Arabidopsis thaliana: one gene and its partner. The protein of the gene in region 1 interacts with the protein of each later gene in a pairwise test. Each region holds a gene or a part of one and is shown on either strand. Other genes may lie near its edges.

Region 1 (4,135 bases):
ATCTTCTTCTATCTCAAGAGGTTTCGAGCACCACCTATCGAGCAAATTGCATAAAACCGTCACCATTATTATTCCTGCGACGATAATACACCATCCCCAGATTGGGATCTCCATCTTTTTTATGTATTTGTTTTCAGTGACAAAGAAACAAAGTAAATTGTTTGTTGATGATTACAAGTTGCTTAAAAGTTGTTGATATTATAGGAGGCGGGAACTACTCGAAAGACTTGGAAATTTACCATTTTGACAAAAAACTTGCTAGAAAATAACTAAAATAAAAGTAAATCATTCTTCTAATTTTTTTCAATTTATCAACTTTAAAAGTATATTTCCTTTTCTTCATAAATCTCATAAACTAGCAAAAAGATAATGTCATAAACTAATACTATAAAATATATATTTTGTTTTTTTTGTTCCGTCAAATATATATTTTTGGTTTTGCCTGTATTCTTGTTGACTTCCGTTTTTTTTTTCCCCCTTTTTTTTAATTAACTTCCTTTCTTTGCTTTTCCATTTCTTCTTGATTGAAAAATGTATATTGTGTGATTTTGTCTACTTTATTTAAATTATCTTTGAAATCGAAGAATTTCTGCTCTATTAAAAATTCAAACTATAGTCTACGTTGGTATTTGTTTATTTCATTTTATACTCTGCTTATTTTTCTGATACTACATTACAACTACCACTCAAAACTACAATTAATTCCCTAAAAATATTTTTCGTTTCCAAAATTTGTTTTGTGTGAACGATTCCGAACTCCACAATTGATATAAAAAATTATCTTTGAGTTATATTATCAACAACAGAAAAAAGAAAGAAAACAAATACAACGCAAGCCTTGAAATAAAGTCTCATAGATATTTGGCTTTTTTTAAGTGCAACACAAACAAAGCCTTTCAAGACGATGAGCAACAAGGCTTCTTAGCGTTTGATTCAGAAGTAGCAGCCACATCAATTGTTTGGCCTTCCTTGATGTTGGCATTTGCAGTTGTCTGGTCTGAAGATATCGACTTCTTGCTGATGATCCTATAAACCTCCGAGAGAATCGTCTGAAAAGCCTTTTCTACGTTTAATGCCTCGAGAGCCGATGTCTCGATGAAAGATAAGCCTTCTTTCTCTGCATAGCTCTGAGCATCCTCTGTGGCAACTGCTCTGAGATGCTTCAGATCTGTCTTGTTCCCAATCAACATGATCACTATATTGGAATCTGCATGGTCTCTTAGTTCTTTTAACCACCTGCTTACATTCTCAAACGTTGTTGGCTTGGTGACATCATAGACCAAAAGAGCTCCAAGTGCACCTCTGTAATAGGCGCTAGTTATGGCTCTGTATCGTTCTTGCCCAGCCGTGTCCCATATCTGAGCTTTCACAGTCCTTCCTTCCACCTTAGAACAAAGATCATAGGTTTTTTAATAGGTTAATTCAGATCTAATGAGCAGCAGACTCTATGATTAGTGTGTCTGCAACAACAAAATTAGTAACTTCGCAGCTAAATTCCACAAACAACCCAGTAAGAAAACTAGAAACTGTGAAACAACAACCATGATTCATACTTCAAAAGAAAATCATGTTCGAGATCAATTTCAGATGAAGAGATTCTTAGATCTGCCTTAAACAAGGTTTTAGATCTGACATGTGAGGGAGCCTTACACTACCACGTACCAGAGTATCGACAAATTTGGGAACATTATCAATAAAACGCTTAAATTAAGAGATACCAAAGCAAAAATCTCGACCAAATGAAAAAAACAGGCACCACACATGTAAACATCAAAATTCAAAACCAAGCCCAAATGTTCCTACACACAATGACTGCTTCCGAGTATTCATACGAACACAGATACGGATCGAATCGAAAAGCACCGGATGCTGCTTAACTTAGAACTAAACCTAGATCCAGCAACATTTCGATTACACTATATACTATATATATAGAGAGAGATGTGTGCGTACTTGGAGAGTACGAGTAGCGAATTCGACACCAATGGTGGATTTGGATTCTAAGCAGAACTCGTTGCGAGTGAATCTAGAGAGGAGATTAGACTTGCCGACACCGGAGTCTCCGATCAAAACCACTTTAAACAAGTAGTCGTATTCTTCGTCCGGTCTTCTCGCCATTGTTACACTTTTCTCGAGGAGTGCTTTAGATTTGGGATTTTGAAATAGAAAAGGAGAAGATGACAGAAATAAATAAATAATTTAATTTCTCTTTCCCCTTGGATCTTCTCTATTCAACCTTCTCGGCTTGTTATTGCCCAACGACGAAGACCTTTTCTTGTCAAGTTGGGCTTACTAAAAAAGCCTACATATATGTAATTCATTTATACATGCTAATAAAAGGGAAAGTAATTAGAGCTTAACCGGAAAATAAACAAAAATCAGAAATAAAACCAAACAAAACCGAGCCAAACCAGAGGAATACACTCAATACAGATTTTAAAAACCCTACTTCTTCATCATCATCCCTTCAACACTCCTTTATAGCTTTTCTCCGCCTCAACTTTTTGCTTCTTCTCTCTCGATTTGCTCTCACGGAAGATTCTTCAGAATATCTGGTAAGATCCATCGATCGAACAATCTTTTTTTCTCCAGTTAGCTCATATTCATATTTATGATCATGTCAATTGCGAGCTCACTGCTTGATTTTTTTTCCTTGGAACCAGATCCGATATCAGAAGCCCCAAGTTCGCTTGAATTCCGTCTGAGCAATGGCTTTGGTGAGTTCTCTATGATTGTCTACTGTTACGATCGCATCATGTATCGATATAATTGTAGAAACGTTAGATTTGTAAATTTTAGGATCTAAGTTTATAGAACGATTGTTCATACACCAAATTGATTAAAATTATGTTAGTTTGGATATGTAGCTACTCTATTGTTAAGTTATTGATTTGGAATACGTATTATTGTGCTGATGATGAATTACGATTGCAGGTCTTGCACACGTACAAGGGAAACAAAAGTGCTGAGAAGGCACTCATTGCAGCAGAGTACGTTGGTGTGCAGATCGATGTGCCCTCTGACTTTCAGATGGGTGTCACTAACAAAACCCCTGCGTTCCTCAAGATGAACCCTATTGGAAAGGTTTGTCATCACTGGTGTTTGCTAAATTTCTGGACTGAGTATTATTAAGTCTATTTTTCAGCTAACCAAGAGTTATTGATCTTGCTAGGTTCCTGTACTTGAGACTCCCGAGGGTTCAGTATTTGAAAGCAACGCAATTGCCCGTTATGGTAAAGCATTCATAACTTTCTCCTTTAATTGTCTCTCAGTGTCTAGTTTGATTGCTTGTTGTCGTTTGGGTTTAATGGATCTGTTGATATCTCAATACAGTAAGCCGATTGAATGGTGACAACTCTTTGAACGGATCCTCCCTGATCGAATATGTAAGTAGCTGTTTTTTCCCTGGGGGCTACTCTTCTCTAATCCATTGACACCTCTTCTATTGTTTGTCATTCTATTTGTTAGTATTCTCAATGGTTATCTGCATGTTGTTTTTTCGCAGGCACAAATTGAGCAATGGATTGATTTCTCTTCATTGGAGATCTATGCAAGTATCTTGAGGTGGTTCGGCCCAAGAATGGGCTTTATGCCATACAGTGCTCCGGTAAGCTTTTTTGACTTTCATTGGTTGTTTCATTCACTCTTTGTGATGGCAATCTAGGTATTCTTTTCACTATATAAATAGTCTCATCCGTGATTGTTATATAAATGAAGGCTGAAGAAGGTGCGATCTCTACGTTGAAGAGAGCACTTGATGCTCTGAACACACATCTCACGTCTAACACTTACCTTGTCGGACACTCTATTACCCTTGCTGATATCATCACTGTCTGCAACTTGAACTTGGGATTTGCTACTGTCATGACCAAGAAATTTACCTCTGAATTTCCTCATGTTGAGAGGTACTTCTGGACTGTGGTTAACCAACCAAACTTCACTAAAGTGTTGGGTGATGTCAAACAGACTGAAGCTGTCCCTCCTATTGCTTCCAAGAAAGCTGCCCAGCCTGCAAAGCCCAAAGAAGAGCCTAAGAAAAAGGAAGCCCCAGTAGCAGAGGCACCTAAGCTTGCTGAAGAGGAAGAGGCACCAAAGCCCAAAGCCAAGAACCCTCTTGACTTGCTACCACCAAGCC
Region 2 (6,041 bases), on another chromosome or scaffold:
AAAGAGATAGATACAGAGAAAAGAGAAAATACTTGAGCAAGTTGGGACTGAGTCAGCTTCTTGTCTTCTCGGGCTTGCATGATGGCTTTCTTCAACTTAGTGGGCACACGATCACCTGATTTTAAAACCATATAAAGGTGTTAACGATAACCAGCATTACGAATCAATCAAACACATATGTAGACTTCCTCTCGCTAATAATGCAAACTGAAGAAAATATTAATAACCCAAGAGAACAGACTAGATTACTAGAATGACTGTACCCAAGCAAAAGCTGGTTCTTATGGGATCCAAATCAACAACACTGATCCCCATGCAACAAACAATAAAACGAAACAGATCAATCAGATAACTTCTTCGTTTTCTAAAGAACCAAATCATCTACACAACTAAATCAATCAAAGCTTAGTCATCTTCCTATCTGACAATGCTCTGATTCGAGGGAACGAAGCAAGGGTTTGGTGGGAGATTGGATTTGGGACAAACACATATAGAATTGGGTCATCGATTTGGTGAAACGAACTCGGAATGGTGAGCAGCGTCGAGAGAGACGACCAATAGAGAGAGTGAGAAAATTTCCCGACGGAATGAAAAATAAAGACACAAGGATTTTTTGTTGGTTAAATATATCAACCAACCACTGACTGCCACGTAGGAGGCTCTCTCCAGAATTATTTGTTTTGATTATTTTTAATCAACAACTTCAAGAGAACCCTATCAAATTGTGATACTCATATCATGACACTGACAAATAAAAGAGACCATGAATATGGTTAGGCCATATGCGATATGGCTTCAAAAACCAAGTTGGGACAATCTTATGTTTAGTCTTAAGTTTGAGTTCATTTTAATTCATTTTAGATACTATTGTTTGATGTAAAATTAAACTTTGATAAATAAATGTACCTAAATTTGGATTGATTTTTTCATAATCATGTTTAAAATTTTTGGTGTTATGCAATTCTGTTTTGTTTTGTTTTTCCATAATAAGCATCTGAACATTTTTACAATATTTATATATTTTAAGAAACTGAAGTTTTAAGATGTATTAATCTACATTAACCTTTTCTATTTTAATGTTAACAAATATTATATATTATAAGTACAATATTCATCAAATACTATAACATATATGTGAAATGTAAATATTTACTACTAATCAAATATCATACTGCATATTTGATTGCAAAAGAGCTAAAAATCATTAATATTGCACATTAAAAATAGTCAATAAACTAAAATCATTAAATACACAAATATATCATAACACAGCAAGTGTGTACCATTATTAATCAATAGATTTACGCTATACAAGTTTTCCGAATTATGTATGTGAAATAAATCACACCAAAAAAATGTATTTGAAATGAAAAAATTCCCCGCCTCTGTAATTTAAGTTTTTTAGATTAAAACAGCTAAACTCTTTTCATTAATTTATTAGAGATACAAGATATTGTTATTTGTTACCAATACCAATATGTAAATTTTTCTGAGTAATTATTATAATTAGTTGAATTTGGCTACCATATGCCAATTTTCAACACATAAAATTCTTTTAAACGTGAAAATTCCAATAATCTAAGAGCCAACAACCACGAAAATTAAACCTCGTTTTAGTCTAAACTCTAAAATGAGAAATAATTAGAAACCAATAAAGGCTCTTAAAGAAAGACTAGGTCAAGTTCAAAGCAAGTTTTGCTTTGTGTGGTGGTCGTCGTCTCTTTCTTTAAACACACTTGTTTTTTTCTTTTTCCTTTGACCACTCCAATATAAACAACCAAGAACCAGTGTTCCTCGTCCATTCACTCTCTCGTAATCACACACACACTCACTCATACGAAGCCAATTGTTCCACACAAATTGGAAGCGACGACAATGGAGCCGAAAGAGAACGGCTCAGAATTGGGTCAGAAGATCATTGACGGACCAACGAATCCAATGGTCACACCTTTACTCAATGATCTTTATCAATTCACCATGGCTTATGCTTATTGGAAAGCTGGCAAACACAACGAACGATCCGTGTACAACACACAATCTCTTCTCATGCTCTGCTTTTGATGTTGAATTCTGAATGGTTTTGTATATTTGAAATTGTTTTTGTTTCCTTTTCAGTTTCGATCTGTATTTTCGTAAGAACCCATTTGGTGGTGAGTACACTGTGTTTGCTGGATTAGAAGAGTGTGTTAAGTTCTTAGCCAATTTCAAATTGACTGATGAAGAAATCGATTTCGTTCAAGAGTGTTTGCCTGGATCTGAGGTATATCAAAAATCTGTTTGTTTTTAGATTGTTATTGATTAAAGTTTGGATTTTTAAATCAGGGTTTTATGTTTGTGATTCAAATTAGGAAGCTTTTTGTGATTATCTTAGAGGGCTTGATTGTTCTGATGTTGAAGTTTATGCAATTCCGGAAGGATCAGTTGTTTTTCCTAAAGTACCTCTCATGAGAGTTGAAGGACCTGTTGGTGTGAGTCTCTTTGTCTCTTTCATTTGTGAAGATTGTTTAAGGAATAGTTTTCTTGAATGAATGATTCATCAGTTGTTGTAAAATCTCCATAGGTTGTTCAATTGTTGGAAACTCCATTCCTCAATCTTGTCAATTTTGCATCTTTGGTAGCTACTAACGCAGCTAGGCATCGCTTTGTTGCCGGAAAATCTAAGAGTCTACTCGAGTTTGGTGCTCGAAGGGCTCAGGTTTCCTATAAATCTCTCTCTTGTTTTTTGATATATTGCCTTTTGTGTTGTTCTTTCCATCTCTGTCTGATGTTATTAGTGTTGGAATCTTAGGGTCCGGATGGTGCAATAAGCGCATCAAAATATTGCTACCTTGGAGGTTTTGATGCAACAAGGCAAGTCTTGCTTTTTGTTTTTGTTGATCTGGAAGTAGGTGAAAGGGAATGTGGAAATGATGTGTTTTGTGTTGTTGGGTATTTTGCCAATGACAGTAATGTAGCAGCTGGAAAACTTTTTGGGATTCCTCTTCGTGGAACACACTCTCATGCTTATGTTAGCTCATTCATGGTCAGTTCACTTCAGCCAAAAGTTTCAATTTTTATGTGGAGGTTACATACTTGAGTTAGCTAGTAGAGACGATAACACAAAGTTTCGTGAAAATAAGATATTCTTGTCAATGCCTTTGTTGCTATAACTTTATTAGCCATGGTTCTGATGCACACTTAATATCCTCGCTCATAACAATATCACAAAAGCATTTTCGATATAATTAGTTAACTTTGGATTGCAGAGTACTGATGAGATTGTTGACAAAGTACTTCGTAGTGCTGATGGGAAAACCACGTGCGAGGATTTTGTTAGTCATGTTCAGACATGGTTAAAAAAGATTCAGGTTTGTTTATTGCACATTTTGCTCTTCCTCTTCCTGTTTTCTAGTCTCAGGACCATTGTTCTATTTCTGCTTCAACCCTTTGCTTGAATCTTTGTCACAGTTTTTCTTATGTTTTGTTTCTTTGTGGATGACAGTATTCACCATCTCTAAGTGGCATTTTCTCTGAGACAAATCAAAGCGAGCTAGCAGCTTTCACCTCATATGCACTGGCATTCCCCAAAACTTTTCTTGCCCTCGTAGATACATACGATGTGAGCATTAAACACCATAGTAGATAGCTCATTTGAGCCTTAGGATTTCTAATAAACTCTTATATTAGTGTTTTGCTGACTGTTTTACAGGTGATGAAGAGTGGAATCCCTAACTTCTGTGCAGTTGCTTTAGCACTCAATGACTTTGGGTGTGTAAGAATCTCTTATCAATACCCGATCGTCTGACTTGACTTTGTACTTCTTCAGGATCATATGGAATTTGAGATGCAATTGATGTTTATTGTGCTGCGCAGATATAAAGCATTAGGTATTAGACTGGATTCAGGTGATTTAGCTTATCTATCTAGAGAGGCCAGAAATTTCTTCTGCACGGTAGAGAGAGAACTAAAAGTGCCTGGTTTTGGGAAGATGGTCGTCACTGCTAGTAATGATCTAAATGAAGAGACGATTGACGCTTTAAATAAACAGGTGACTCCCTAACCCACTCTCAAATGCCATGCCCCCGAAAGATTGATTATTATTAAGCAGTGTTTTTTCTTTCATCTCTATAGGGACATGAGGTGGATGCTTTTGGCATCGGGACCTACTTGGTCACTTGCTATTCACAAGCGGCCTTAGGTTGCGTTTTCAAACTTGTGGAGATAAACAATCAGCCTCGGATTAAACTTTCTGAAGATGTTACAAAGGTTAAAACTCTCTCTCTCTCTCTTGGTGTTCTGAACATTCAATGTCACATTGCACTTAATCTGATTATCATTCTGATTCGTTTAGGTATCAATACCGTGTAAAAAGCGAAGTTACAGATTATACGGCAAAGAAGGTTACCCTCTGGTAGATATAATGACTGGAGAGAACGAACCACCTCCAAAGGTAAAACGAAAGATAACTCTCTCAAAGATTTTAATCTCATTACCTTATTGCATTTTTACATAATATCTTTCTTGATATCAAAGGTTGGTGAGCGTTTACTTTGTCGTCACCCATTCAACGAATCCAAAAGAGCATATGTAGTGCCACAACGTGTCGAAGAGCTCCTCAAATGTTATTGGCGTGGAAGTGCAGGTAAAGATTTTCCGGTACCGTAGAGTTATTAATGACAATGCTTTTCACTGATTATTGTTTCTCTATACCAATGAAGATGAAGCAAGAGAAGTATTACCGCCTTTGAAAGAGATAAGAGACCGTTGCATCAAACAGCTCGAAAACATGCGACCTGATCATATGAGGAGATTAAACCCAACTCCTTATAAGGTATGGTTTTATCCGACAAACATGTTTTTCAGTTTCTGAGAAATCTGTGTAAATGTTTTTTTCTCTCATGGTTTACAGGTTAGTGTAAGCGCAAAGCTGTACGATTTCATCCACTTCTTATGGCTAAACGAAGCACCTGTTGGTGAATTGCAGTGACAGAACAACCAAAAAGAAGAATCTGGTTTTGGTTTGGTGTAATGTATATAATTTATATACCACAGCATCACAAATATGCATTTTTTTCACTTTTAGTTTCTTTTTCTTACAACATTTTGATGATCTCTCATTGTCGTAGTAAGTTTCATTTTCTTACTGAGGAAAGAAACTCTCTGCGTTCACTGGAACTTTGTTTTCAACTGATTCAATAAGATTTTATATTTACAGCTGTAAACATACTGGAGACTGTAAAAACATTTACTCAAGTCAACGATTTTGGATCAGGTTTAGTTTCGTCATATGGTTGACAACTTACTGTTGCAAACGGATTGGTAAGCAGTTGAGTTAATTGAGTTTTTTCTAGCAGAGATTTGAAGAACATTACCTTTCTTCAAAAACTTCTTTAGGCGTTACTAGGACGTTTGGGGTGGACCTAGTCACTAACCACATATTCAAAATTCATTTCCAAAAAGATGAATTATGGAATATGAGAATAGAAAAATACAACAGAGTAAATGAGGAGTAAAACTTTATTACAGAAACTTACCAAACAGTAAAAAAAAATATGGAATATAAGGAAACCATTACTTAACGAAAAATCACTTAACAAGAATACAAGATGACTAAAAATGACAAGACGATAATCCATCCAAATTGAGGTTAAAAACAAGTGATAGTTTTGGTCTTATACAACAGAGTTATACAAGTGTAACTTTGAATTCTTATGGTCTCCAAATAGCCATGGCTTCGAGGGCAGGGCACTCGATATGGGCGTGGGTTTTCTTGGATGAAAGTTAAATTTGTTGATATAAAAGAAACACATAGTATACACAAAACTGGTCGGGACCAATACTCTTTTTTTTTTTGGCTCCGTTCATATTTTCAAAACAACAATTCTTTAGTGAAAATTAATAGATTGATTAAAGAAAAAAATGTTGAGAAAACATGAACTTTCATATTGTTGACGAAAAAAACATGAACTTTTCAAATGTCATTTAAATCCTAAAGTTTAGTTTGACTTCTTAAAAAATAGTTAATTTAGTTGACTTGGCCATTCCAAACATATCTTTAAGTT

Evidence for each region.
Region 2: the proteins of RAB11c (region 1) and NAPRT2 interact in a two-hybrid assay, tested with the Arabidopsis thaliana proteins (one large-scale study listed by BioGRID).

What each region holds. Positions count from the first base shown.
Region 1 is NC_003070.9:3,117,454-3,121,588, forward strand, and holds RAB11c (RAB GTPase 11C), read right to left. Parts: upstream 2,363-4,135; 5' UTR 2,119-2,362; coding exon 1,954-2,118; intron 1,386-1,953; coding exon 897-1,385; 3' UTR 702-896; downstream 1-701. Other genes in the region: AT1G09625 (uncharacterized protein), read right to left, coding at 1-114; AT1G09640 (Translation elongation factor EF1B, gamma chain), read left to right, coding at 2,709-2,717, 2,935-3,084, 3,173-3,233, 3,334-3,386, 3,506-3,607, 3,718-4,135. UniProt on the Arabidopsis thaliana protein: Intracellular vesicle trafficking and protein transport.
Region 2 is NC_003071.7:9,969,944-9,975,984, forward strand, and holds NAPRT2 (nicotinate phosphoribosyltransferase 2), read left to right. Parts: upstream 1-1,659; 5' UTR 1,660-1,875; coding exon 1,876-2,024; intron 2,025-2,115; coding exon 2,116-2,260; intron 2,261-2,348; coding exon 2,349-2,468; intron 2,469-2,560; coding exon 2,561-2,695; intron 2,696-2,788; coding exon 2,789-2,850; intron 2,851-2,946; coding exon 2,947-3,022; intron 3,023-3,245; coding exon 3,246-3,347; intron 3,348-3,481; coding exon 3,482-3,598; intron 3,599-3,688; coding exon 3,689-3,747; intron 3,748-3,852; coding exon 3,853-4,027; intron 4,028-4,110; coding exon 4,111-4,245; intron 4,246-4,330; coding exon 4,331-4,429; intron 4,430-4,512; coding exon 4,513-4,621; intron 4,622-4,697; coding exon 4,698-4,810; coding exon of another isoform or gene 4,811-4,849; exon of another isoform or gene 4,850-4,888; coding exon 4,889-4,966; 3' UTR 4,967-5,264; downstream 5,265-6,041. UniProt on the Arabidopsis thaliana protein: Catalyzes the first step in the biosynthesis of NAD from nicotinic acid, the ATP-dependent synthesis of beta-nicotinate D-ribonucleotide from nicotinate and 5-phospho-D-ribose 1-phosphate.